Sus scrofa: one gene and its partners. The protein of the gene in region 1 purifies or fractionates together with the protein of each later gene. This does not show direct contact. Links are inferred from orthologs where the notes say so. Each region holds a gene or a part of one and is shown in the gene's direction. Other genes may lie near its edges. The genes, in order: KIF23, SHCBP1, ARF6 and RACGAP1.

Region 1 (7,881 bases):
ATCAGTTTTGCACCCTCCCCCAAATTTGTTGATTTTATTAATTTGTTTTTTGAATAGGTAAGACATTAACATCCATTCATCTCACAGACGGGCTGGGGAAAGAGAGTCACATGGCCTGGGGCTGTGAGATTATGTTGCCAAGGCTGCTGAGGCCAGGGGTGTGTTGGATGTGTCTAGGCGTCTGGTCTCCATTTCACAATCTTTCCTCAAACACTCTGGGCTTTGGTAGTTTCTGGTGCTTGCTTGTTCCTCGGTTCCCACCAGCTGGATTTTCTAGCTGGGTTCTTGGCTTAATGATGGTTTCAAATCTCTGTAGTACAGCCCCTCTTCAGAGATTTGCATAAGACCCTTCCAGTTCAGTTTGGCAGTTTCTTATACACTCACGCTTACCACAAGACCAGCAGTTCCACCCAAGAGAAATGAATATATCTATGTTCACATAGATAACGTCACACAAATAACTATACCAGTTTCATTCATAATCACCAAAAAGTGGAGCCAGTTTAATGTTCATCAACTAGTGCTGTATAGACTGTCATATAGTGGAACACTAATCAGCAATAAAAGGGGAAAAATTACTGACATGTGTGATGTGATGAATCTCAAAAACATCATGCTGAGGTAAAGAAGGGATGTTCTGGGGAGTTCTCTCTGCGGCTCAGTGGTTAACAAACCCGACTAGGATCCATGAGGATGCAGGTTCGATTCCTGGCCTCACTCAGTAGGTTGAGGATCTGGTATTGCCGTGAGAGCTGTGGTGTAGGTTGCACATGCAGCAGCTCGACCCCCTAGCCTGAGAACTTCCATATGCTCCAGGTGCGGCCCTAAAAAGCAAAGAAAGAGAGAGAGAGAGAGAGAGAGAGAGAAAGAAAGAAAAGACAGAACTCGAAGGAAATCAGAAAAGTGATTGCCAAGGACTGGTGGTAGGGAAAGGCAATTGACTGAGAAGGAGCAGCACAAGGCAATTTTTGATGTGATGGGAATATTACACATTTGACCATGCCAGTGGCTATATAGGATGGTGTGTGTGTCTGTCAAATACATAGATGGTACAAATAAAAAGGGTGAATTCTAATGTTTGTAAATTATACTTCAATAAACCTGATCTTTTAAAAAAGCCTCCCTTCTATTCTCTACCCCTCTCCTACCTTCACCTTGGTCTGGATCTCTAATTCCAGGGGAAAAATGCAAGTCTTTTACCAGCTAGCGATGGAGAGTGCTTGACCATTTTTGAACAGAGAAATGATATAATGAATTGACATTAAAAAATTAAGTCAGCTTTAATAAGGACATAAGTGAGAAGGGAAGAGGAAACTTATCTAAAGAAAAGCTAGGGTTGGTGCACTGTAGCTGGGTCCTGGATCGGGGTGTTCTGTGAAGAAGGCATGGGTTCAGACACGTATGGAGCACCTTCATTGCCGGCACGGGGGCTACAACAGCGCCATCTAGTGATGATGTGGGGATAAGCTGGTAGAGGAGACTACTAAACAGCGATTGCAGATGGCAATGCGAGCTCTGAACAAATCAACAGGCGCAATGACTGAGGGAGGGGAGGGGACAGTAGATGGAGAGCAGGGGTCCAACACCCCGAGCAGGATCATTGGCAGAAGATCTGCTGGGATCTGAGGTAAGGAGGCATTGTCAGAAGGGAGGGAGGAGAGCTTGACAGCAGAGGGCCATGGTGTCTGAGCCCAGTGTGTTCAGGGCACTGAAGGTCCTCCTGGCTGGAGGAATGCAGTGGGAAATGATACGCGATGAGCTTGGAGAGGAAGAGCCTCTGGGCCTGTAGAGGGCCTCCAGCAATGGGAATTACTTTAGTATTACATGTAGGGAGATGATCAGATCTATGATTTAGTGGTGAGCTGGCTGCAAAAAGGAACCAGGATTGGAAGATGGCAGCGGGGAGGCCTGTTAGGTTACAGTTGCTGCCATCCAGACAAGAGATGGTAGTGGCCAAGGGGATGAAGAGGAGAGGTTTGAAGGCTATTTAGTTGGTAGAACTGTCAAGATTTGATGATTGAATGTTGGAACAGAAGAAGAGGCAAAAGTCAAAGATGGTACTTTGCACTTGGGCTTGGGTGGGTGCATAGACGATAATGCCATCCACTGAGGGAGAACAAGTTCAGGGAAGAGATTAGGATGTGTCATGTGTGAGGTACTTGTTGGGCATCCAGGTGTAGAATTCAGTAGGCTGTTGGACATATGCAACTGGAGCCCAGAAAAGCAAACATGAATAGTACGTGAAGCTATGGGCGTGCCTGGGGAGAGAGCGCAGCTAGTGACCACCAGGTCAAAACCCTAAACCACAATATTTAAGGGACAAAAGAGAACTCACAAATGAGGCTGAAAAAGAGGGGCTAGAAATCTAGGAGGAAAACAAAGGAATGGGAAATATTTTTTAGGGTGTTAAGAGGTCAAGAAAGATAAGTGTGGGGAAGAGCCAAATTGTTTTAGCATCAATGATCTTGCTGAGAAGAGTTCAAGTGGAAAGACTGAGACTAAAGCCAGGCTGCCTAGTAATTAAGTGGTAAGCGGGAGTTCCGTGTGTGGTGCAGTGGGTTAAGGAACTGGCATTGCCACAGCTGTGGTGTAGATCGAAGCTGTGACTCACATTCCATCTCTGGTTCAGGAACATCCATATGCCATGGGTGTGGCCAAAAAGGTAAGGTAGCAGCCCAGCCCAATTCCTAAGTAATACAGATCCCAACCTCTTATTTGACGACAAATAAAGTTCTAATGGTTCAAAGACTTAAACATAAAAAACAAAGCAATAAAAGCATTAGGAAAAATATACGATTAAACGTCTTTTATCTTTTTTTTTTGGCCTCATTTTCCCAGGCTAGAGGTTGAATTGGAGCTGCAGCTGTGTACTCTCTGACGCAGCAATTCTGTGTAAATAATAGATTTTCAAGTTTATTCTCTATAACTATGTCTATAGTAGCAAACACTGGAACCATCTTTATGTGGAACAGTATGGGCTGGAGATATGTCAATCCTTAATCGTCTGGTCCTGTAGAAAGCTGAGGAGATGGGACCACAGTTCCATAAGAGCACGTACATAGATTCATACTGATAGTCAAAGTGAAATAAAATCAGTTCATCTTAGAAAAGAGTGGTTCTGGACGTTGCTCCTCAAGGACAAGGATCAAAATTTTATTTATCTCGGTATGCCCAGTATCAATCATTGTTAAGACTTTGATATACAGGAAAGAGGTGGAGGAACCAGAGAGGGAGATCCCAGGAAAAGTGAAGAAGAGAGAAATAGGAAGCCAAGGGGATACCATGATCTGGACTCCGAAGAGAGAGTCTGAGACTCTGTGCAGGGCACAGCCCAAGTAAAGGACACTCCTGGGCGGAACGACACTGTTGACCACTGAATTAACCCTGGACTTGCCCTTCTATCGGACTTCTCGTGCTGTGGGAAAGGAAACTCTCAGTGTTCTCATAGGACCATGGAAGCTGTTGTACTTCCTAATGTCTGAGACCCGCTTCCCCATCCCGCTCTCATCACTCACACAGCCGACGCTATTTCCGGCGTCGGTCGCCTGGGAGACGAGCGCCATTTCCCGCAAAGGAGGAGGTTCCTCATAAGCCCCGCCCCTTCCCCGCGGGCGGGCGCTGATTGGGTGGTTTGAAATGCGCCGGGCGCGAGCTCACCTGCGCCGGCAGCGGCGTCTCCCGGCTTTACGGAGCGCCGCGCCTGAAAGGCAGAGTCTGTGTTCCCGAGGCCGGTCTCTACGGTCCGCCGTCCTCGCCAGCCCGCCCGACCGAGCCCGGCGTTCCGTGCTCGCATCCGGGCAGCGTCGAGCCTGCTGCCATGAAGCCAGCGTGAGTACCGGGCCGCGGAGCTGGGGCTGAGCCGCCCCGGGCCGCGCCTTCGGCCCTGAGCCCGGAGCCTCCCGGAGTGTGGCCCCCAGAGTGGGAGGGAACCCCCACCAGGACCTCCTGGGGGAGGGGGGGACCTGGGCGTCGAGACCCGTCCGCTTGGACCATCCCAGCTCCCAGCCGCCCGGAGTCGGCCGCCCCGGCTCCCCGCCCCGGCTTCACTTCGACCAAGAAATGTCGGCCCCTAGTTAGGGGTGAGGGAGGTTTGGACTGCGACTCCGGTTCCAGTTAGCCGGGTCGCCCTCCACCTGGCTCCGGACCAGCGGCTCCAACCTTTTCTGAAGTTCCCCTTTCCCTCCCTGGTCGTCCGCGGCCCCGGGTTGCATTTTGCCGAGTTAGTGCGGGTCGGAGGTCGACTTGGGTGTGGGGCCAAGTGTTGTATCCTGGGGTTGGTTGGGTAAGTGGTCTCAGCCCCTGGAGAGTCTTGGCATCGGTGTGCATTGCGGGCTTTTCTTAGCCTAGGGGGCCGAGACCACTCCCGGTTGTCGTTCGGTTACTTTTCTCTATTCTTTGGTCTCACACAACCCGGTCCTCGGGCATAAATGCACACGCCCACATTCCTCACCGAGTGGAGTGATGTTCCCAGGGCACACTCATTCCTTGACTGCTATTGGGTATCGAAATACTTGTGCAAAGAAGAGGGCTGACTTTATATTTGTCGTCATCATGTAGCTAGTCGTTTGCAAAAGGCAACTTGTTTTCTTAAGAGGCTAAAGTCAAAATCTTTATCTTTGGGAAGAAAAATACGGAGGTTAAATAAATCTACCATAATATCTTGGACTTAAAACACGAATTTGCTTGTTTCACCTGGGGAAGTGTTGAGAAAGTATTTTAATAGTCTGTAGTCCGAGCCAATAACTTCATTTAATGTTAGCGTTAAATGTTTAGTCTATAGATAAATGGGGAAAAGGGGGAGTGGCATGTAGAGAAGTGATAAAGTAAATCATTATTTTTTCTACCATCCCTACTTAAAAAGAGCAAGAAATTGCAGTTTGGGGACCACATTTTGGGGACAAAGGATGATAGTTCTGAGAATTCAATAATTTCTTATTCCTTGAAAGTAAAGACATAAATCTTGATGAAAAAATGGATTTTCTCCATCTGCATTTTTATATTTTATTGAAGTTGATCACTTTTCAGTCTGCCTTGGCAATGGGCTGTTGGCACTGAAGCCCACAGCATATGGGCTTATGCATCTGTATATTTATGCCCTTGGACATAAGTGTGGTCAATTATCCATAGATTTTTCAAATTTGTAGTGTCTGTAAAATTGTTGCTTAAGAAAATAAGCAAGCTATTTTACAAATAGAACTATAAATAGATGTTAAAAAACAATTCAACAGAGTACATTTTAAAGATCTTATTGGGTTCATTTAACAGTTAATGAATTGGGCAGCATCCAGTCTAGCAGATAGAAAGGAGTGCTGAAGAACTTTACAAAATGGAAGACTTATAGGCAGACAGGGGCAGGACAGGAGAATTACTAGCAATGTGTAGATCGTGGCAAGGTTAGCATCCTTTAGTGGGTGGCAGTGGTCTGTCAGGCAGATCACCTCACTAGTGCTGACCAGGTAATTCCAGGTTGGCTAGTTTAAGAGTCTGCTCCTGGGAGAGGTTGAGACTATAAGTTAGGTATTAAGTCTCAGTTTGGTGACACAGGGCTTAGCATAAGTGATTCCATTTGGGGCCTCTTGTCTCTTTTTTCAACAAAGAGCAAGTATATTTAGTACCAAAACTTTCTCCTAAGCCAATTTTTTTTTTGCGGGGGCGGGCGGGGGGGGAAGCTGCAGGTGGGGCATATGGAAGTTCCCAGGCTAGGGGTTGAATCAGGGCTGCAGCTGCCAGCCTACACCACAGCCACAGCAACATGGGATCCAAGCTGCATCTGGGACCTATACTGCAGCTTGATGCAACGCTGGCTCCTTAGCCCACTGAGCTAGGCCAGGGATCAAACCCAAGTCCTCATGGACGGATACTAGTCGGGTTTATAACCACTGAGCACACTGGGAACTCCTTAAGCCAAATTTTATTTACTTTTGGATTATACATGCCAAAATACTCTTCTACTAATGCAATTTATTCCTGTTCATGTTACTTGGGGTATAGTGTTTTGGAACTGGTAAAGAATAAACCCTAGGTAGGTTGTCTCTATTAATTATAGGTGAGGTTTTTTGTATGTTAGTGTTGAGCTGAAATGTTTTTGTATTTATGACCAGGAGGACTAAGACACCCAGGAAACCACCAGTGAAAAAGGGAGCCCAAACAACTCTTAAAGACCCAGTGGGGGTAAGGTTTCCCTGTGAATTTGTGTGTGTGAATTCATGTCTTTTGTGTGTGAATGTGTGTGTGTAGGGACAGAGGTGCGGAAGTGGAGTCAAAGAACATTTGGCTAAAAGGTCTGTATTTAATTGCTTAAGGGTTGTTCCAGCTTTGAGATTTTATTTCTATGTAGGATTCATTAGTCCAGTAAAATGAAGTCTTTGGTTGTTGATTGCATACTTCCTATAATTAATTATAATTTGAAAAGTTATATAATGAAAAATGGAGTATCTTGGAGAGTTCTTTATATTCTTTGGGATGGGGGAAAGCTTTCTGCTTGCACAAACATCCTCTCCTATCTTTAGGATAGTTGTATAGTAACTTAGGGTATTCTTCATGCGGAAAGCCCCAAACTCCATGCTTTGGGGGACCAAGTTTCATAAAGACTCCAATGTAGAACAATTTAATTCATCTCATGACTGCTCATTTGCATGTACTTCACAAGTTTCAGTCTTGGGAACTTGCTTTTAAAAGCAAATGGCAGGAGTTCCTTGGTGGCCTAGTGGTTAAGGATCCGGCGTTGTTACTGCCGTGGCGCAGGTTCAACCCCTGGCCTGGGGAACTTCTGCATGCTGAGGGCGAAACTGGAAAAAAAAAAAAAAAAAAAAGTAAATGGCAAATGAGGGAAGATTGGTTTGCTCTGGGCTGTTTTTGTTTTGCTTTGTTTTGCTTTTTAGGGCCACACCTATGGCATATGGAAGTTCCCAGGCTAAGCGTCGACTTAGAGCTGTAGCTGCCAGCCTATGTCACAGCCACAGCAACACAGCATCTGAGCTGTGTCTGTGACCCACAGTACAGCTCACAGCAACACCAGATCCTTAACCCACTGAATGAAGCCAGAGATCGAACTCACATCCTCATGGATACTAGTTGGGTTTGTAACCTGCTGAGGCAAAATGGGAACTCCCTGCTCTGGGCTTTCCCTTCACTGGCACTGGAGTGTGTCTCTTCGTCTGAGTTGAGGGAACCAGATTCTTTGCACATACAGCTGATTAAGAAGACCACATTTCAGATCTTGCATTTACTTATTTAGTATATTAAGTACTCAGCTTCCAAGTTTTAATTGACATCCAATTCCATATAATCCTAACAGCTTTTCAAATAATTCTCATTGTGTGATATGTGGATTTCTAGAGAGTTTTAATTTTATGTGCATTTAAAATTCTCTCATATCTAATATATCTTTTTACATTTGACAATCAGCAAATTGGGCAGCAGGTAGTGGGGTAGAAAGTTTTGGCTTTCATAGCTTCAAGTTTATATAGATCTCTTGCATTTAGACACCAAATGTTTGTTGAATGAATAAATGAAAATTCAGGTAAAAAGTCAACCTTTGATTTTTAAGCATCTTCTTGTATTTTCAGGTATACTGTAGGGTACGCCCACTGAGCCTTCTTGATCAAGAGTGTTGCATAGAAGTGATCAATAATACAACAGTTCAGCTTCATACTCCTGAAGGTTATAGACTCAACCGAAATGGAGACTATAAGGAGGTAATTGCTGTTGGAACCAACTGTTTTTAATTAATAACTTCTTTCCTGAGTGGTTTTTCGATTTTTTTAATTGAACAAAATTCCTGTGTTTCCACTTTTTTGGAAGATTTATTTACTTCACTCTAACCATTATATTTGAAGTGTTTTTAATGTCTAGGTTGTATGGACACACCTTTGGTATACG
Region 2 (7,715 bases), on another chromosome or scaffold:
CCTTAACCCACTGAGCAAGGCCAGGGATCGAACCTGCAACCTCATGGTTCCTAGTCGGACTCGTTAACCACTGAGCCATGATGGGAACTCCACAGTGTCTAAGTTTTTAAAAAGTAGTTGCCAACCTTTTAATATGGGAGATTTCTTATAAAAATCTAAATCTCTGGCTTCGCTTGGAAAAAACGTGACAACATGGGGTCCATTCCAACCACTTTCCATGGGACTTGCACTAATGTCCACTTCTCTTTGATTTTTATTTTTATTTTTTTGGTCTTTTATCTGTTACCAGGAGAGTGAGGGCCCAGAAGCCAAGGGAGGAAAGGCTGTGGTTGGTGTGTGTGTGTGTGTGCGCCCGCGGGTGCGCATGCTAGGCTGTCAATGTTGCAGCAGGTGCAGGGTGATGGAAGCCCAGTAGCAAACCACTGGCTGTTAAGAGAGGAGAGGAAAGCCGCTACCCCAGCGCAGTTTGGCACTATCCAGAAAGTGTGGAGGCGGCATCTCAAAATTGCAACTAAGCTTTGGGAAATATTTAGGGAAGGGCAGTGATTTTGAGTCCGTGTGTAGACAGCATATAAGGACCTAATGGTGATAAAGAGAGTGGACCCATTACTAGCACTGAGTCAGACCAGATATGTCAGTTGATCTTGAGTTCCTAGCCAGGGATCCATTCCCTGGAAGATATGAGGGGAGATTCCATGGCCTCTACAAAGGATCCTATTCTGCTCCAGTTATGGGGATGTAGTTTCCCCCTCCTTTTTTTTTAATGCTGTAGCCATAGCAACACCAGATCCAAGCTGTGTCTGAGATGCAACACCACAAATCAGGGCAATGGTGGATTCTGAACCCACTGAGTGGGGTCAGAGATTGAACCAGCATCCTCATGGATGCTAGGTGGGTTCGTTCCTGCTGAGCCACAATGGGAACTCCTTTTCCACCTTTTTTTTTTTACATGACCATTTTAAACAGTTCACTTGTCAACTACAGCTATATGTCCATCACCGTGATGAATACCATTATGACCACAAAATCAATAGAAGACACTCTCTAATGATGAGGAGCTTAATGTCTAGTTGGTAATTCCTATAGAAAGCAAACAAACAAGCAAAAAACCTAGAAACCAAAATAAGGGTGCATGATCATGTTATAGATTGTGTACAAATGTACCACATGGGACATTGAAGTATAAACAAAAGTTTCCCGAACCTTCGATTTCTCATATGTAGAAGGAAGAATTAATCCTCACTTCACAAGGCTGTTTGAAGATTAAAGGTTATAACTATTGTTATAGCGAAGAGCCAGGTACATTATATACTCTTAATAAATGTTAGTCAAAATATTAAAAAAAAAAAAGAGTGGAGATACAAAAAAGACTGGGAATAATGGATGCCACCCCACCTTAGGGCAGGTGGAAGGCTGTGATGGGCTGCAAGTGAAGGGATTGGAAAGGAAGAATTAAAAAGCCCTTTCCAGAGTTTCCTTGTGGCTCAGTGGGTTAAGGATCCAGCCCGGATTGCTGCTGTGGCACAGGTTGGATCCCTGGCCCAGGGAACTTCCACATGCTGTGGGTGTGGCCAAAACCAACCAACCAACCAACCAAAATCTTCTCCTTAGGATTAGGGGGAGGGCGCAGGGAAAGCAAACTCCCAAGATGTGTGCTCCTAAAAGGTCTCCACTTAGGGGAAAACTCTAAAACTTTCAATATAATCCATGCAAATATAAGTTTGGAAATGTAGCCCGTGTAATAAATGATTTGTCTTTAATAGAATTTGCAGCAGCACAGGTGTTTTTTTCTCTGACCCTGTGGCTGCATGTTCTTTTCCAAGACTTTTCCAGAAGCATTAGTTTGGGAATTCTCTTGATGACTGAGGAAATATTCTATAATTGAACTACTGAAGAGCTATGCTGTCTTCAAGGCCAGGGAAGAGGGCTGAGGAGAAATCCTGCCCCTTGTGGGGTTTGCGGGTGGAAGGGTTAAATGGAGAATTATAAGAAAGTCCCAATGCTAGTCTTGATTTTATTGTTGCGTGTGTTTTCACCTCCTGGTGCTCAACAAATATTTGTTCAGTGAACCAATAGCCATAAGGTCGACATTGTACTTGAGAGACAAAGAAATCTTGTTTCCTGGAGAAGCCAGCTGAATTAACTGCAGGTTGCTACAATCACCTCTCCTGGCTCCATTTTGTTTCAGCTGTGGGGGCATGAGAGACGCTAGTCCAAAGTTTTCCTTCAAGGCAGCAAGTGGAAATGTCTTCCCCGTGATAAATCTGTTATGACCAGGCTCTCGGCTTTTGGTGGGACTCAAACCACCATGTTCTGGTAGCCTCCGCTGTCCCTGGCCACCTCAGCTCCCACTACTCATGGCCTGGCAGAGGCATTAAAGGGTAGATGCAAGAATTTGACTGGTTTCTAATACAAGTTGTGCTGGGTTAAATTGGGCATTGCTTAATTGATTGGCGATTCCATTTGTTCATCTGTAGACTGGTAATAATTATATTTCCTGTCTCATCGGATGGCTTTTGAAGGTTGATTAAGATAATGCAGATACAATATGCAGGAAAGTATCTTGAACATAGTACTCAATAAATGTTAGCCATTATTACTGGAATTATAGTTATCTTTGATTAATAAGCATGGATAAAACATGCTTTTTATTTATTTTGCTTTTTAGGACTGTACCCGAGGCATACGAGAGCTGCAGCTGGTGGCCTATGCCACAGCCACAGCCACAGCCACAGCCACAGCAACTTGGGCTCCCCGCCAAGTCTTTGACCTACATCACAGCTCATGGCAACGCCAGATCCTTAATCCACGTAGTGAGGCCAGGGATTAAACCTTCATCCTCATGGATCTTAGTCAGGTTCATTACCACTGAGCCATGGCAGGAACTCCAAAACATACCTTTACATACTAGATATAACTTGACATTCTTTAAAAATATCTTTTATGTATAGGCAGTGAATGAAAGAGGGGAAGAGAGAAAAAATGAGAGAGAGATTGGTTTTTTTTTTTTGTTTTTTGTTTTTTGTCTTTTTAGGGCTGCACCCACGACATATGGAGGTTCCCAGGCTAGGTTAATCGGAGCTGTTGCTGCTGGCCTACGGCAGAGCCATGGCAATGCCAGATCCAAGCCGCATCTGCAACCTACACCACAGTTCACAGCAACGCCAGATCCTTAACCCACTGAGCGAGGCCAGGGATTGAACCTGCAACCTCATGGTTCCTAGTCGGATTCGTTTCTGCTGCGTCACGACGGGAACTCCCCAGAGATTGATTTTTGATGGTGAAAAGTTTGGAGCTGTCTAGGCCAATATACTGTTAGAACTGCAGATGATCTGTGAGGTGAAGTGACTTGCTCAAGTTAACACCAGTAATAATGGCAGAAACAAGTCTAAACAGTGTTTTTTGACTCTCAAGCCAGTGCCTTTTCCGCTCTACTCCATTTCCAGGTATGACTTGTCAGGTTTTCGCAAAACATCCCTAATTATGTCCTAATTCAACTTTGTTCAAGTGCCTTCTGCTCATCAAGAGCTTGGACCAGAATAGCAGTCCGCCCGGCCAGTAGATGGCGCCAAGGCACTGTCACTGGGGTGGGGGGAGGCTGAAGGGGGCGGGGCTCGTATGGAAAGAGGACCAGGCAAACTTTCTTTTAATTGGTCCAAGCGCCTAGGCCCATTGTCCAATCGGAAGCGCCTGCGTCATCACCTTACCCGGCTGGGCGGCCGCCCGCGGAAATTTGAAATGGGTGACGGGTTGCTGGCCGGTGGCGGCCTGGGGTCGGAGGCGATGGCGCCCGAGCGCACCCGCTGGTCAGCGGAGGAGCATCCGGCGCCTCTCGAGAAAGGTGAGTACCCGCCGAGTCAGGCCGGAGGAGCCGCTGCCTTCAGCGGACCGTGTCAGCGGCGGCCGGGGGTGGTGTCCAGACCCTCCGAGGGCGCTTGGGGCGTAGGCCTTCCGGACCCGGCTGGATTGGGTGGCGGCGGTGGCTGGGCGAGGCCCTGACTCACTCTCTGGACGTCGAAGTCGGACAGTACCCTTGGGCAGCTCCTGTCCTCCCTGCCCAATCTGGCCTCAGCTTCCTGGGGACCGGAGGGGGTTGGGTGGGGTTGCGAATTCCTACCCTGGCTGCCTGGGTGGGCCTCCTCGGGGCGTTTGTCTGTGCAGAATGGGCGCGTCTTTTTTATTTGCATCCTAAAGGAGATTATGAACTACACTCCCCTTTGGCGAAAGAGGAGAAATTTGTACGCTTGGCCTAGACAGCTGCACTCTACTTTAAAGGCAGATGACAGGCCCAGGGAGGGGAGCCAATTGGGGACAGTGTCTAAAGATAGAACCCAGGTCTGATTCTCACCTCTTACCTCTTCACGGAGATTCCACCCCACCCTCCACCCCCGATATTTTAAGCTGGTTCAGGTTTTGCTTCAGTATTTTCAGTTGTGTTGGTAGTGGAAGGAGTCCTGGAGAAAGAAGATATAAATGACTTGGAAAATTCCTCTACTAATCCCTCTTGTGGACTGTCAAAAGTCACTTGGCTTCAGTTTTCCCATCTGGAAAACAGGCAATGGTGCTATGGAGTGGTAAAGATGAAGTGAGATAATGTGTGAAAAGTGATACTTTCAAATTGGCTCTAAAGGATTGTGCTGTAGTAAGATATTTTTGTTGTTGTTAAGATACACATAACATAAAATTTACCATTTTAACTGTTTTTTAAGTGTACAGTTCATTGGTATTAAATACATCCAGATTGTTATGCAGCCATCACCACCATCCAGTCCCATAACTCTTTTCATCTTGTAAACTGAAACTATTCCTATTGAAAAATAACGCTCCAATCTCCCCTCCTCCCAGTCCCTGGCAACCACTTTATACTTTGTTTTTATGATTTTGGCTATTCTAAGTACCTCAATCAGTGGAATTACAGAATATTTTTCTTTCGGTGTCTGGATTATTTCCCCCAGCACAATGTTCATGCATATTCTAGCACTTGTCATAACTTCCTTTTTTTAAGGCTAAATTATTTTTCATCATATGTATATACCACATTTTACTTACCCATTCATCCATCAGTTACTTCTATGTGTTAGCTATTGTGGATAATGCTGCTGTGAACATGGATGTACAAATATCTCTTGGAGACTCTGTTTACAATCCTTTGGGTATATACCCAGAGGAGAATTGTTGGGTCATATGGTAATTGTATTTTTAAATTGCTAAGGAACCACCATACCAGTTTCCACAGAGGTAATACCATTTTACCTGCATACCAACAATGCATAAGGGTTTCTATTTCTCTACATCCTAGCCAACACTTGTTTTCCTGGTAGTTTTTCTTGGTTTTTTTTTTGGGGGGGGGATAATAACCACCTAATGGGTGTGAAGTGAAAGTATTATTTCTTTAACAAACATATCTGTATGTTATGTGAGGGGTATTGTTGTGGTTAACAACTAATTTGTTTAATTCACTTGATTGAAGTAGACATACGATTCTCACCTTCCCTTTTTAAAGGAGGTAACTGAGGCACAGAGATTGTCACACAGTAAGTAAGTAAGGTACTGATATCCTCGGAGGCTCAGGTGCATTGGTGTCTGTGAGCAGGAGACCCTTGTACACTTTGGTCATCTGTGGGGTCACATGATTCTGGTGGCCTGAACTGGGGCAAAGAATTGGAAGGAGGGAGGAAAGGAAAGAGAAATTAAAGGGGTGAGGGAAGAGAAAGACTGCTGCTAATAACAGCCTCAGACACCCTTCCTGGAACCGCTGGAAAGGACTTTGCCAGTCTAAATGCCACCCTCAGCATTGTTTATTTAATGGTCGTTTTGTCTATTAAAAACATCTTATTCCACAGAATTAGATATACCACTGGCCAAATAATGCCTTGTGAAACATAATTACATATAGCCCAGACCTAACACGATTAGCATTTTCTAATCCCTCCTTTAGCCACAGGCTTTGAAATTAGTGAGGAGGAACCTAGTAACTTTGGTGAAGTAAGCCTTATGCATTATTAAGACTCATGCATGTTTATTCAGGGGCAGTGACACGCTGATCTTATAGAAAATAAAGGGGGGGGTTCAATTTGAAAGGGAGTGTAGGAAATCACCTCCTTATTTTAATGCAGATTTGTGAAATTGTTTGGGGAGAGAAAATGACTGAAAGATATTTGACCATTGTAAGTTCTAGTAAGAATCATGGCTGAGTGATTTTCACTGAATTGAAAAACAACCCTCTTTCTTTGCCTCCCTGAGAAACCACATAGAACGGCAACAAAAACCTAACCCATGAAGGATTTTAAGTTCATATTGTTTTGAAGTAGAAGTTGGATTTGAGACATTTTCAAATTTGGAAAACTGTTCTTTCTTTCCTGACAATGTGAAAAAAAAAAAAAAAAGGGAAGTAAAGCATCATGCCCAAATATTAGTTTATATTTTGTTTGGGATCTCTTTTTTAAAATTTTTATTTTAAATTTTAATTTTTATTGTCTTTTTAGGACCGCACCTGCAGCATATGGAAGTTCCCAGGCTAGGGGTCAGATCAGAGCTGCAGCTGCCGGCCTACACCACAGCCACTGCAATGCTGGATCCAAGCTGCATCTGCAACCTACAACGCAGCTTTCAGCAATGCTGGATCCTCATCCCACTGAGCAAGACCAGGGATCAAACCCTCATTCTCAGGGATACTCCTCAGGTTCTTAACCTGCTGAGCCACAAATGGGAACTCCCTTGTTTGGGATTTCTATGCAAGGATGTAAAAATAAAAGTAGTTGATAAGCATTGGAAGTGTCTGGGATAGTCGAGCCTGCCTGTTTTGTTATTTTTCTTAGGTTTGTTACAAGATGACGATTCATGCAGTGATTGCAGCAGTCACGATAAACCAGGTAGTAGTTTACAAAGTTTCGTGCCAGAAGGAAAAATTCATTTCCCAGAAATGTTCCAGACAAGTCACCTTTTGTTCTATGAGCGATTCAGAGCTTATCAAGATTATATTTTAGGTGAGTAGGCCCTCTTTTTTGCTGCTTCTGTCTTTTACCAGTAGATTGTTTCAGTTCTTCAGACTGCCATTTGTTGGTTCTGAGAAAGTAGATTTAGGTGAATTTATTAACTTCATGCTGTCTGCTTTATGCAGTCCCAATTCTTACTGTGTTTAATTTGTTTATAGCTGACTGCAAGGCCTCTGAGGTAAGAGAATTCACAGCTGAGTTCTTAGAGAAGGTCCTTGAACCATCTGGATGGCGGGCAGTCTGGCACACTAATGTGTTCGAGGTGCTGGTTGAGGTAAATTTAATTCTGTTACTAAGACATTTGTCTCTGGCTAGAAACACTTTCCTTCGGACTATGATAGCCAAAGTGCTTATTTTTAATTAAGGTTTATGAGCTGATTGAAAAGAGCATGTTTTTCACATCTAATTGCCATGGTGTATGAAGAAGTATTCCCCACAAATTTTAAAGGCAGCTAAGGGGCTGCCAGGGAATTGAGGTGGTTTGTTTCCTTGTCCATTTTCAAGGGGAAATGGATTATAAACCTGTGACATGGGGGAGGTATTTGAGACCATTTAAAAAACAAAGAGGCTTAATTATAAAGTAGGTAAGGTTTGAATTAATTTTTTGCCTTCTTAGTTGTAGCTCATTAAAGTAGCTCAAACCAAACAGGCATTTAAAAACTAGCCTATTTTTTGCCCAACATGTTTGTAGGTATGTGGTACCTCTTAATAGTGTGTCCC
Region 3 (6,153 bases), about 12 Mb from region 1:
AAAACTATTATGTTGGAATGAGGCAAAATATAGTACTCACTACCACATATAAAAAATTCCTTCCTCAAATGTAGTAGTAATTACTATGACACTTTCTTTATAGTTATAAAGCATTTTAAGAAATACAGCTGACCCTTGAATAGTGGTACAGGGCTGGGGATGGGGGTAAGGTAGGGTAGTAGGGCTGACCCCAACACAGTCTAAATTCTGAGGATAACTTCTTAGATGGCCCTCACATCCCAGGTCCTGCATCCGTGGATTCAACCAACCCAGATTGTGTAGTGACAAGAGTACATATTTATCTAAAAAAAGACAAGTACAGTGGATCTGTGCAGTTCAAACCTGTGTTATTCAAGGGTCAACTATACTGTAATCAGATTTCCTGAAGTACTTACAGGGGGTGAAAAAGCCTAATTTTGGGGTTAAGAGAGAATGAATAAATTCACCATATCAGCTTTGTGACCTCTGAAAAATTACTCAACATCTCTAACTCTCGGTTTCCTCCTAATTAATACTAATTAATGAACCTCAAAGCTAACTCACATGGTTGCAATGCATATTAAAATATTTGAAGTATTTAGTACAGTGTTTATAACAATCAATAAATAATGACTATTTTCATTCATGGTATCATTCTTCATTTGGTTCAACAGGTAAAGAAAATGAAGTTTGCAAAGGCTGAGAGAAAAGGATTCACAGCTATAAAATGGAGGGTGACATTTGAAACCCCAGTCTTCTGACTGCACATCCTTTGTTTTAAGACAGTACATATTAAGGAAGAAAGTAAATTAAATCATTGCCAAAATATTAGTAACTTCAGTAAATTTACTTCAGGCTGAAGCTTAAAGGTTATCACTTAACCAATCTACCATTATCAAATTTTTTTTAAACTGTGAAACAAAAAGTATGTTACTTTATGCTATCACATCATATTCTTTAAAAAAAAAAAACAAACACGCTATTTTCCTGTTTTTCCTCCTTTTGGTTTATTTCAAGCTTTCTTCATATTTGAACTTTATCACTAATCATTTGATACAAAGAGGGTTCCCTTTCTACAAACATTATACGTATAATAATAAAAGCCCTCAAGTGGGCTTCTAGACAGTGGGGTCAGAATTACACTCAGTTTACGCATGAGATCAACTCGATAAGGTCAAATGTCCGAATCCAGGCGTCAGAAGTAGTTTTTCCTATTCTAAATCCAACGCTAAGATTATATAGACGAGGCTGCTGAAAATTAAGAATGAGAAACTACTACTAATCACAGTAAAAGATATTTAAAAAGGAAAAGCATGGGAAGTCTTGAAAATACTGTAATTTTTAAGAAACGTGGATTGCTCCTGACGGCTCAAACACTCAAAAGACGGGCTTTAGAGGAAACCCAAACCCAGTAAACGCGCCGCACTGAACGGCAAATCCCACGGGAACCACTGGCCTCCCACGTGTCTCTCAGGAAATGCACAAAACGAAGGAAAAAGAAAGCCAAAGGGAGTTGGGTGAAAGGTTTAAAACAGCAGATAGGGATTCACAGGGAGATGGAGGGCACACGAAGCCTGGGGTGGGCAAGAGAGAACTCGCAGAGCATCTGGCAGGCGCCGAGGACGGAGAAGAGGCCTGGAAGCAAAGCAGGGGGAGGCTTTCATCTGGAGAGCGGGCGGCCAACGGGCCCCACCCAGTGGATCTGCTTCTCAGGTTCCAATGGGGGCGGAGGAGGAGAGCGCGCGGAAGAGAAAAGCAGAGAGGGGAGAAGACGCTAGAATAGCTACAGGTGGGCGCGGGTCAGAGCCCGGGCTGCGCGGGAGCAGGGCTGGCCCCACCTGGGAGCCTCCGAGCCGCCGTAGCCCCGCCCCTCCGCGCGTGGCGCCCCTGACGCTTGGCGCGCAGGCCGCTCTCCTTACAGAGGTCGCTCTTGTCCCGAACGGTCGGCCTCTGCTGCGCCTGCGTCGTCGGGAGGGGAAGTGAGGCGGTTTCCTCGGCGCCTTTTCCGGCGGCGGCGGCGGTAGAACTGGGAGGAGGCGGTGGAGGCCGGAGGGAGCCCGCGCTCTGGGCGGCGGCTGGAGGTAACCTCCTGGGCTGAGCTGGAAAGGCGGGCTCCTTCGGCCTCCGCTCTCTTCTGGGGCTCCCGCAGTAACTCCCTTTTTCCTCTCTGTGTTTCTGCAGGCAGCGCACCGAGTTCCCGCGAGGATCAATGACCCGACGGGGCGCCGGAGCCGCTCTGCTCTCGTGTGGCCTGGGTCAGTGGTGAGCGCGGTGCTCCGCGGACCGGAGGCCGGGCCGAAGGGCCGCAGTCTCCCGCGGCGGAGTGAGGTGAAGGCGGCCGAGCAGGAGCCGGCGGCGGCGCTTGTACGGCGCCTGCGGGGGGAAGGGCAGTTCCGGGCCGGGCCGCGCCTCAGCAGGGCGGCGGCTCTCCCAACGCAGACTCAGGCCGCGGCGACGGGAGGAATCAAGTTGTGTGGTCGGTGATGCCCGAGTGAGCTACGGGCCCGGGCCTCTGCCCTGAGGAGGCAACTCCCACGCAGGCCGCACGGGCCCCCTCGCGACTGGGAAGCTCCGTTTCGGTTTCGCGGCGGCGGCGGCGTTGTTGGAGGGGACCCGGGACACCTGAATGCCCCCGGCCCCGGTTCCTCCGAAGCGATGGGGAAGGTGCTATCTAAGATCTTCGGGAACAAGGAAATGCGAATCCTCATGTTGGGCCTGGACGCGGCCGGCAAGACAACCATCCTGTACAAGTTGAAGCTGGGCCAGTCGGTGACCACCATCCCCACCGTGGGTTTCAACGTGGAGACGGTGACTTACAAAAACGTCAAGTTCAACGTATGGGATGTGGGCGGCCAGGACAAGATCCGGCCGCTCTGGCGGCATTACTACACCGGGACCCAGGGTCTGATCTTCGTAGTGGACTGCGCCGACCGCGACCGCATAGACGAGGCCCGCCAGGAGCTACACCGCATTATCAATGACCGGGAGATGAGGGACGCCATAATCCTCATCTTCGCCAACAAGCAGGACCTGCCTGATGCCATGAAACCCCACGAGATCCAGGAGAAACTGGGCCTGACCCGGATTCGGGACAGGAACTGGTATGTGCAGCCCTCCTGTGCCACCTCGGGGGACGGACTCTATGAGGGGCTCACATGGTTAACCTCTAACTACAAATCCTAATGAGCATTCTCCACCCATCCCCCAGAAGGAGAGAAATCAAAAACCCATTCATAGGATTATCGCCACCATCACCTCTTTGAATTGCCACTTTCTCTTCTTTTGAATTTGAACTTTGGAGTTACAGTTCTACGGTTTGGGGGAGGGGGTTAGGGGGTTTCTTTTTTGTTTCTTTTCTTTTTCTTTCTTTCTTTTTTTTTTTTTGGCTTTGCGTTAGGATGCTCTGAGCTGACTTTTGACACGAACACAAAGTACTTAGATACTCTCGTTGACTTCCAGCAAATGGGATGGGGGAAATACAGCAGTTCTTGATAAATTCCTTTATAATAATGGTTTGATTTTTTTATTTCGAGAGAATCTTCTTTTCCAATGTATGCTTTTTTCCTTTTTGCCCAGTTTCCTTATCACTTGCTGTAGATGGCTTATTTTGCATTCATGCAGACTATGTTGCAAGTCTGTTTCATCTAGTAAACTGAAAATTATTGCTTAATCAAACTGCCGTTTGTCTTTTATATTTAAGGCCTTTTCCCCCTCCCTTATGAATTCCAACTTAGTAAATTCAAATGTGACCTTTTATATCTAAGACCAGTATAGTAAACTTAGCCCACAGGGGCAAATAATGAGTAATATCATTGTAATATGTTCCAGTTGCACATCAGTATGTTAAAACAGGTAATGTAAGTTCTTTGAAATGTCAGCTTTTAAGTTCTGAAACATACATCATGCATGAGTAAGGATAAAACTCAAGTTCCCCTTTACAGAGCTAACTTACAGTGCATAAAAATATGAAAATGTAACCAGTCAAGGACACAGATTTTTTTTTTCACTGCAAAGTTAGCAACTTTGCTGTGTTTTCCCTCTTTTTTAACTTTAAAAACAGACTCTTCCAGAAAATGGAGCAATAATGTTGTATGCCATATACAAAAGAAATATTTGTAGATATTTTAAGTGACTTTTGGGCAAAACTGGAATATATCTTTTACTATGTTTCAAATGTCTAAGACCAATCATATTAAAATTACCAGAATGTTTACTTTGTTCATTAATAAAGCATTTAACAATTCAAGTTATATGCACCTTTTACCTAGTTGGAAAGAAAAACATTCCTGTTTCCACATTACAGCAACTGAATAAGCTGAAGATATCTTTTTTTAATAGACGAGTGATTCTTATCTCCATTAATTAGAACACTGGAAAAGATGTTTTATAAGAAAGGTATTCTTTTTGATTGTAGGATTAACTCATGCAAATAGTCAGATATCCTGTTGGTTCAATGATACACCATCTCCTTTAAGGAAGGAAATGTGAGATGAATGAATGATGTGTAGACTTGAAGAATGACAAAGGGGAAGTAGGATGTAGAGAAAGAACCTACAGATGACAATGAATGTAAACTTATTCAAGGGTAAGCAGTGTGCTCACTGGTGATATCCAGATCTTAACAAGATGACTTGCTTAGCTGGTTAGGACCAGTAACAAGATTATTGAGACCACTATGGTAATACTTTGAACCAAATGTTAATGCTTGATACAGAATTGTGTGTAACAGCATCTGGTTCTTATATAGCCTTAAGGATTAATTTTAGAGATCCTCAAGGAATTAGGGTATTTCACAAATGTAGACTGCAATGGCAGCATACAGGAAAAGGCCGAGTGGGTTTTGTTTATGAGGGTATCTGAAAACTAAAATTGAGCGGGATGTCATGGTATATGATTGGACAGTATTGGTCCTTCATGTTTTGGCCATATTGTATAACGGAGCTTTTACCAAAGATGTTTGAGCAACATAAGGCTATAAAAAAGTAACTTCAAACTTTTGACAAACATTTTACTTAAAGTAGAGGAGAAAAGGTGCTATGTTGTAGGCTCCTGATGGTGCAGAGGGATTTTTGAATTCAAAATGCAACTAAAGTATAAAGTTCAGTTTCACTTTAGTAGAAGCATCTCTAGAAATGAAGCTGATATATCTAAACATTTTAGCTGCTTTTAAAATTCCCAGTTTCATCATAAATTTAGTGTTTTAAATGATTACTTATTAAGGTACATAAACATGGATTATACAAATATCAATGTTATAGTAACATCCTGAAACAAGACAAGCACAAAGGTATTAATGCCTAAACTGGAGGAAACTTGAAACCCTCATGTAATTCTTAAATGTAGTATTCTAACTTGTGACAGACAAATTGGTAGGCAGCCATTTTTTTGTGTCTTAAAAAAAACTGGGGGCATAGTTAAAATTTTATACATCAAGTGATTGCTATGGAATGTAGCAGGTGAGATGTTATTTTTAGTTTATTTGAAATGTCTAACTGAAGGTTGGGGGAGGGGGGAGCAAATATTTGAAATTTGGAAAACCCTAAACATTTGGGTAAGAAACTGTAATTTTCACTTATATTTTCTTTAAGGATATAAAAGGTTGATAATTGATAAATTGAACCATAACCATTGGTGATCATGGAGCAGGTAATTATAGCCTGCAGAAAAAGTTATAATCTTAAGAATTTAAGAAATAAGATCCTGAAGTTTTTGTTTAATTGCATCAATTTCTGTATTTTCTGTGAATTTATAAACTGCAGTAAGTTTTGAATGAGGTTGATCTTGTCTAATATAAGTAAATGAGTCTGTAGACTGTGATCTCCCCAAACTAAAAAGTACAGTACTTGGAATTGTGTTCTTCATGGTTGTAGTGTTGGTAAAGCACTAATATGCAGAAAATAAAGGAATTACACAGTGCAGTTTCTCCCTTTATGTTACTCGTTTGAACTAGATTAAGTGGGATGTGTGGTGTGTTGGGCCATGTTACTCTCCAGGGATATATGGTATAAAGTGACTTAATTTGGGAGTCAGCTAGTTTTTAATAAGAGCAAAAAAGAATCATTTTGGTTCTTGTAGTCCTGGCTATATAAGAAGATTTTGCCCTGACTTAGTTCCACCAAATTTAATTTGATTTTATGATAACTCATGACACAGAAACAGTTGAAAACTTGAAAA
Region 4 (7,284 bases), on another chromosome or scaffold:
ATTCCCTGATTCCTTACTCTTACTTTTCCATCATCGTAACTTCATTCCCTTTTCTCCTTTCTGTATAGTTATAGTTGTTTTTTTTTTTTTAAGGCTAAGTCCAAAGTTAGTGAAAGAAAGATCAGAGTGAAGGTTTGTATTCAAATAAAATGACTTTAATAGCCTATATATTTTATCTTTGTTTTCCCCAGTCTACATGATTTTTATCTTCTATTATTATCATGAGCTTCCTGCCCTTTTTTTCTTTTTTTGGCTTTGTCCTCGGCATGTGGAAATTCCTGGGCTAGGGATCAAACCCACACCACAGCAGTACAACAGTGACCCAAGCTATTGCAGTGACAACACCAGATCTTTAACCCACTGCACCATGAGAGAACTCCTGCCTGAACTTTTTTGATGTTGGTGTATAAATTAGGAATAAATATTACTTAATATTTATCAGGTGCCTGTTATGTGCCAACACCATGTTATGTTGGTGCTATGCTATGTACAGTAGATGATAACTAAGTTGTATGTGGTGTGTCTTCAAGAAGATTGTGGTATTTAAGTTTCAGAGACAGGATTCTGTCCCGTGAAACAGAAGATAATACAAGTTTCGAAATATATGTTTTGGGAAAGTATAGAAAAATGTGGAGCAAACAGATAAGGAAAGGATTCATAGATCAAATGGGACTAGAAAAATGAGTACATAAAGAAGAGTAGGAGAGTTCCCCTTGTGGCTCAGTGGGTTAAGAGTCCAACTAGTATCCATGAGGATGTGGGTTCAATCTCTGGCCTTGCTTGCTGCGTTAAGGATCCTGAACTGGAGTTCCCGTCGTGGCGCAGTGGTTAACGAATCCGACTAGGAACCATGAGGTTGCGGGTTCGGTCCCTGCCCTTGCTCAGTGGGTTAAGGATCTGGCGTTGCCGTGAGCTGTGGTGTAGGTTGCAGACGCGGCTCGGATCCCGCGTTGCTGTGGCTCTGGCGTAGGCCGATGGCTACAGCTCCGATGAGACCCCTAGCCTGGGAACCTCCATATGCCGAGGGAGCGGCCCAAAGAAATAGCAAAAAGACCAAAAAAAAAAAAAAAAAAAAAAAGGATCCTGAACTGTGGTGTAGGTCACAGACGCAGCTTGGATCTGGCGCGGCTGTGGCTGTGGCATAGACCAGCAGCTGCAGCTCCCATTTGACCCCTAACCTGGAAACTTCCATATGCCGCAGGTATAGCTATTAAAAAAAAGAGTAGGTAGGGCATTCCATTTGAAGAGCATAGCCTGATCGTAAGTGACACAGGTCTGTCCTAGGGGCAAGGACAAACCAGTTTAGCTAGAAAGAGGGTATTAGGTAGTGATGAGAAGTTGATTAGGTAAGGTGGCCTGGATGCGTGGGGTTTAAATATGGACTGAACAGCCATTTTCATTCATTCATTCATTGAATATTTAAATGCCTACTGTGTGCTAGGTAAAGTGCAAGAACCTGGGGATAAAGTGAGAGAGACATAGGGTCCTTGCTCTTAAGCTTAGAGGGTGGTGAGAAAGACAAGGAAGAGCCTATGCAAAGGCCCTAGAAGGAGTGAGCTGAAAAAAACAAGATTCCTGGAGCTGCTTTAATCTCTTTGCTAAACTATGAACTAAATCCTGATTTTTTTTTTTTTTTTTTTTATGGATCAGAGGTTATTCTCAATTTGTTCTAAGGAAATTTCCCTTCTCCTTTTGATAGATGCATTTTGTAATTTAATATAACTGTTTAAGAGACAATTTTAATAAACCTTTTGAATGTATATTACATGACAGAGGCCAGTACCAAATTGAATTGTGATTCACACACTGACCAAAAATTGCCATTTGTGTTTATTGATCTCCAACATGAAAATTTCTCCTGGTCTGTGGTCTAAAGTGGGTTTTTGATCCATTCTAGCACAATTAGTTCATAACAGAATTGTACATAAAAGTAATATCTTCGTCATATATGCAGATGATCTAGTTTTGGTCTAACATAAACTAAATTAGTAATTTAATCATTTGTATTATTAAAACAGGAACTCCTTCCTTGAAATGAACTGATACTTTATTTGGTTTCAGTTCTGTCATCCAATTTAGTTATATCTGTAACATATGCTAATTAACAATGAATGGGAATCAAAACCCCAATATAATAAGACTTATCAAGAAGGAATATCCTAAAGATAAAACCAGCAAAATTAGATCAAATGGAAATCTTTTTATTCTCAAAGTTGTTTTTTAACTCTGTAAATATTTGCAAGTATAAGCAACACTATATTTAGAAACATTTAATTGACCACAGTGCGGAGCTAGAAAGTTTTTAGACTGTGTAGTTGAAAAGTTTGTTTCCTTTTATTTATCAATTTTTTTTAAGAAATATTACATACCTCAAAAAAGTTCACAAATAGGAGTTCCCGTCGTGGTTCTGTGGTTAACGAATCCGACTAGGAACTGTGAAGTTGTGGGTTCGATCCCTGCCCTTACTCAGTGGGTTAAGGATCCGGCGTTGCCATGAGCTGTGGTGTAGGTTGCAGACATGGCTTGGATCCCGGTTGCTGTGGCTCTGGCATAGGCCGGTGGCTACAGCTCCGACTTGACCCCTAGCCTGGGGACCTCCATGTGCCATATATGCGGCCCTAGAAAAGACAAAAAGACAAAAAAAAAAGTTCAAAAATAATAAGTGCACTGCTTGAGGAATTGTTTGAGTAAATATGACTAAGAATCAGCTCTTGTTTTTAATGTTTTTCTTTGTGAATCTATAGTTTTGAAATCGTTTAATTTGCAAAGGGATGTGTTTGTTTTCTTTTTGTTTAAATTAAGGGGGGGAAAAAAACCCTTAGTAATGTGTTCCAAACTGTTAACCAAACCAATATATCATTTAAAACTATTTGAGGAGTTCCTGCTATGGTGAAGCAGGTTACGGGGCCAGTGTTGTCTCTGCCTGCTGCAGTGAAGATTCAGTCCTCAGCCCTGCCAAGTGCAGTGAATTAAGGATCCAGTGTTGCCGCAGTAGCGTGGGTCACAGCTGTGGCTTGGATTTGATCTCTGGCCCAGAAACTTCCTTTGCCATGTGTGCAGCCAAAAAAAAAAAAAAAAAAAAAAGAAGACTTGAATTGTAATAGTATATTTTTTGAGATCCTTGATATTTGCATTGTCTAGGATAACTAGGTCATGATATCCTGTTTTGCTAAAAACCTATTGTTTAGTAAAATCCTTATGTGTAAGCCTTAGTTTACACATTGGAATTGTCCTAATTTGTAAGTTTGAAATTTAGTCAATCATTAAAATTACTTTAAAAAGGCACTATATTATCTCTATGCTTTCAGGTTAAATTCAAATAAAAAAAGTGCCCTTATTACCTAAGAATCTGCTGGCTTTGTGTGAATTTGACCTAGTTTCAGCCGTAAACTGGGTTAGCTTGACCAGCAGCAGATGTACACCTTGGAAACTTCCTCCATGATGCTGGTGGAGAATGATGCTTGGAGGTAGATTGAGGTTAACTAGAATAGTAAGGCACTGTAGAATAGTCTTTGCCAACAGCAAGTGCTAAGAACAGATGCCACCAGGGTTATCATGCTTTGAGGTGCTGCCTTGGAAGTGATGCTCTCTTTGCAGACTTTTGAAAAGAGTGCACATTCCGCTATCAGTGACTCACCCAAAGCTAATATGATCTTCTCTTCCTGTGTCTTTCCAACTGGAATGTTTACATGCCCTTCAGGGCTGTGTTAAACAGCAAAAGCAAATTGGCTCTTTACTTTCAAATCAATATTTGTATAATTATATAGCTGAATGCAATTGCAGGCCTAGACATCTATAATATTAATCTATATCTTCTGGAGCATATTACAGCAGTTACATTTGAATTTGCTCTTTAACGCCTCTCTGGCACAGCAATGCGTGACTCTAAAGGAGGCTGTTTTTTGTTTTATAGCTGTAACTGTCCTGGTGTGTGACAGCTGCCCCAAAGGTATCCCCCTTTGATTGCCTTCTGTTCAGGAGCTTTCACTGTTAGTGTTACATCTGGAGACAGGTGACTAATGAGTTACTTATTCCATAGCAGATGCCACTGGCTAAGCCAAAAGTTAGTGGCCTATTGAAATAGGAACTGCTCCCCACAAAGCTCTTATCCAGAGTGATGAACATATATCCAGGATCTGCTCCTGGTTATTTTCAGCTAGATTTGCCCATAGTTCAGCTGGTCCCTTAATTATGTATTTGGAATAAAACTAACCAGAGGACTCATTTATTAGAGCATTTATACTCAGTTTGGTGCTTGAATTATTAAAGTTTCCCCCTTTTCTTAGAATTTATCCAGTTGGCAAAGGACTTTGAAGATTTCCGTAAAAAGTGGCAGAGAACAGACCATGAGCTGGGCAAATACAAGGATCTTTTGATGAAAGCAGAGACCGAGCGCAGTGCTCTGGATGTTAAGCTGAAGCACGCGCGCAATCAGGTGGATGTAGAGATCAAACGGAGACAGCGAGCTGAGGCTGACTGCGAAAAGCTGGTGTGTATTGTTTTTTACATCAGACTGTGACAGTGGGGGGTGGGGGAAGCATTAGCCGTAAAGTTTCCACTTGCCTAGATATACCCAGTTTCTTCTACATTAAGGAACTAAAAACAGCCTGTCCATTGATAGGCTGTCCATGATTGGAGCTGAAATTATAGCCTAGGAATCCTATTCTTCATAGGTTGAAACTTAAATTTTTTTCCTTTAGATCTGAAACTTTTACTTAATAGACACATTTCAAACGAGAATTTGAGGAATCAAAATTATAGGGAAAACTAACACAAAGTTGTAAATCAACTCTACTTCAATTTAAAAAAAATTAGGGGGGGTAGTTCCCCGGCCTCGCTCAGTGGGTTAAGGATCCTGCGTAGCCTTGAGCTGTGGTGTAGGTCTCAGATGCAGTTTGGATCCCACGTTGCTGTGGCTGTGGTGTAGGCTGGAGGCTACAGCTCCGATTAGACCCCTAGCCTGGGAACCTCCATATGCCGTGGGTGTGGCCCTAAAAAGATAGAAAGACAAAAAAAAAATTATTTTTTTTTAAATTTAAAAATTAGGGGGAGGAGTTCCCGTCGTGGCACAGAGGTAATGAATTTGACTAGGAACTGTGACATTGCAGGTTCGATCCCTGGCCTCGATCAATGGGTTAAGGATCAGGCGTGGCTGTGAGCTGTGGTGTAGGTCAAAGACGCAGCTTGGATCCCGCGTTGCTGTGGCTCTGGCGTAGGCTGGCAGCTACAGCTCAAATTAGACCCCTAGCCTGGGAACCTCCATATGCTGCGGCTGTGGCCCTAAAAAAAAAAAAAAAAAATTAGGGGGAAAGGCAGGGAAATCTTAGCATTTTTGATCTGTCCCAAGCTGTTGGTTGTCTCTCGTTGATGATAAGCACTATCTAGAGCATTGTCAACCTTTTATCAGTAGCTAGTGCTTTATCATTGATACAGGCAGGACAACTCTTAAGTCTTTCCTTTGTCACTGCTCTTAATTTAGGGTGAAGGATATATTCAACCAGTGTGAACACTAGAACATACATTATCATTTTGATGTACCAGGGTGGGTCATGCTACACAGGGAAGCCTTTATGAGAAGGGACGAATTCATCTTGGTACATTGTTAGATGCCTCAGTCAGCTTGAATTGTCTGGTTCCAGGGTGGCACAACTTTGTATCCATTCTAATGCATTTTGCTCCATCATTTAGAAAAGTGGGTGGTAGCTTTGATCCGTAGAAGAAGCCAATAATTGTCCTGATAAAAATGACACTGAAGTGCTTTTGCTGTATGAAATCTATTTTGGGACTCTGATTTTGCAATACTCTCTTCTCTTGGATTAGCAGTTTGATCCAAAAGTCTTGTCGCAGAAACCCCACTATTCTAGATGGAGTTCATGTTACCAGTCAGAAATCAGAGACACAATCTGGGCTTGATGTGAATTAATATGCCATTGGTGTAGCAGTCTTCCTGAAGGCTCATTTGCATAATGCTGTATTTTAATGTCTTCTGGTCTGCCTGTCCCATAAATTTGAGGTGAAGCTTTCTCCCCTGGTTAGTTAGAATGTTTTACTCTGCTTTGATCTGTAGGAAAGACAGATTCAGCTGATTCGAGAGATGCTCATGTGTGACACATCTGGCAGCATCCAACTAAGCGAGGAGCAAAAATCAGCTCTGGCTTTTCTCAACAGAGGCCAACCATCCAGCAGCAATGCTGGGAACAAAAGGTGGGGGAACCTGCATCTGTTGTTATCTGATCACAAGCAACACAGCTGTCAGAAATTCTTGTTATCTAAAGTCTTAAGCATACTGCTTCTGGAATGTGTGCTGAATCAAGAAGAAAAAGACTTTGGAGGAAGGGTGGGTGGGAAATAAAGGCTCAGGGGCTTCCCTCTTTCTCTTGGCTTTTCTTAGAATGTTTCATCCTGGGTAAAATTTGATGTTAGTGCTAAACTGCCCATCAATAACTAATCTTGCACATTGCTAAGAAACCTAGAGGTGGAAGTGGCAGTTCAGCAATACTTCCAGTGTTTACTCTCCAGAGAGCTCTTGTAGCTCTTCTGGTTTAGAAAGGTCTTCTGTGAGCCAAGACCAGACAATAATTTTGGTTCCACTGCATTGCTGTTTAAAAGAGTCTCAACCAGGCTTTGACTTTAACATCCCTAATGTAATACGTAGGGAAAGGTCAACACTCTTAGAGCTATTTATTTTGTTGCCTGGTTGTTTTATGGGGACTCTTTATAACTAAGAAGCTGTACAGGCTTAATTTCTTAAAAAGCTAACGCTGGGTAATACTGTTTTATAGAAAGTAACCACATTTGGTATCAAATTAAACTTCACTCTTCTGCCTTGTGAATTTTCAGTAGCCTGTAGTACAGGCTCAGCAGGGAATAGCACCCATACCCCTGGCTGTAACTTTCAGTTGCAGTTATGAGGCCTTTGCTGAAATAGCAGCTGAGCTGCAAGTGCACTCATGCATGCTCGCGCACACTCCCCCACGGAAACCGTAAAAAGCAACCTACCAGAGCTAGGTTTGAGCTTCGAGTTACCTCCACAGGGGAAGGCGTTGCTGTGAAATTGCCATTGTTACCTGACCAGTGCGACTTGTTTTGGTGTTGGTGGATTTTACTCTCCACAGTCTTTTGTCTAATACTACTGTTTCATTCATCTAGACTGTCAACCATTGATGAATCTGGTTCCATTTTATCAGATATCAGCTTTGACAAGACTGATGAATCACTGGTAATGAACACTTGGTTTCTGAGAATTACCTATTTTTCTTAACCCCCGCTACCTCAGGAATATCT

What was found.
Region 2: the proteins of KIF23 (region 1) and SHCBP1 purify together in Homo sapiens (affinity purification with western blotting; 9 studies listed by BioGRID and IntAct, with this or other methods). This does not show direct contact. The link is inferred for Sus scrofa from reciprocal best matches to the Homo sapiens genes KIF23 and SHCBP1.
Region 3: the proteins of KIF23 (region 1) and ARF6 purify together in Homo sapiens (affinity purification with western blotting; 3 studies listed by BioGRID and IntAct, with this or other methods). This does not show direct contact. The link is inferred for Sus scrofa from reciprocal best matches to the Homo sapiens genes KIF23 and ARF6.
Region 4: the proteins of KIF23 (region 1) and RACGAP1 purify together in Homo sapiens (co-immunoprecipitation; 10 studies listed by BioGRID and IntAct, counting the BioPlex papers as one, with this or other methods). This does not show direct contact. The link is inferred for Sus scrofa from reciprocal best matches to the Homo sapiens genes KIF23 and RACGAP1.

What each region holds. Positions count from the first base shown.
Region 1 is NC_010443.5:167,236,358-167,244,238, forward strand, and holds the start of KIF23 (kinesin-like protein KIF23), read left to right. Parts: upstream 1-3,615; 5' UTR 3,616-3,817; coding exon 3,818-3,828; intron 3,829-6,101; coding exon 6,102-6,171; intron 6,172-7,568; coding exon 7,569-7,697; intron 7,698-7,881.
Region 2 is NC_010448.4:38,026,179-38,033,893, forward strand, and holds the start of SHCBP1 (SHC SH2 domain-binding protein 1), read left to right. Parts: upstream 1-3,690; 5' UTR 3,691-3,738; coding exon 3,739-3,841; intron 3,842-6,818; coding exon 6,819-6,986; intron 6,987-7,153; coding exon 7,154-7,269; intron 7,270-7,715. UniProt on the Homo sapiens protein: May play a role in signaling pathways governing cellular proliferation, cell growth and differentiation. May be a component of a novel signaling pathway downstream of Shc. Acts as a positive regulator of FGF signaling in neural progenitor cells.
Region 3 is NC_010443.5:179,711,403-179,717,555, forward strand, and holds ARF6 (ADP-ribosylation factor 6), read left to right. Parts: upstream 1-2,634; coding exon 2,635-3,162; downstream 3,163-6,153. UniProt on the Homo sapiens protein: GTP-binding protein involved in protein trafficking that regulates endocytic recycling and cytoskeleton remodeling. GTP-bound form plays an important role in the transport of multiple palmitoylated proteins form the Golgi to the plasma membrane.
Region 4 is NC_010447.5:15,917,133-15,924,416, forward strand, and holds part of RACGAP1 (rac GTPase-activating protein 1), read left to right. Parts: intron 1-4,286; coding exon 4,287-4,489; intron 4,490-6,067; coding exon 6,068-6,204; intron 6,205-7,149; coding exon 7,150-7,219; intron 7,220-7,284.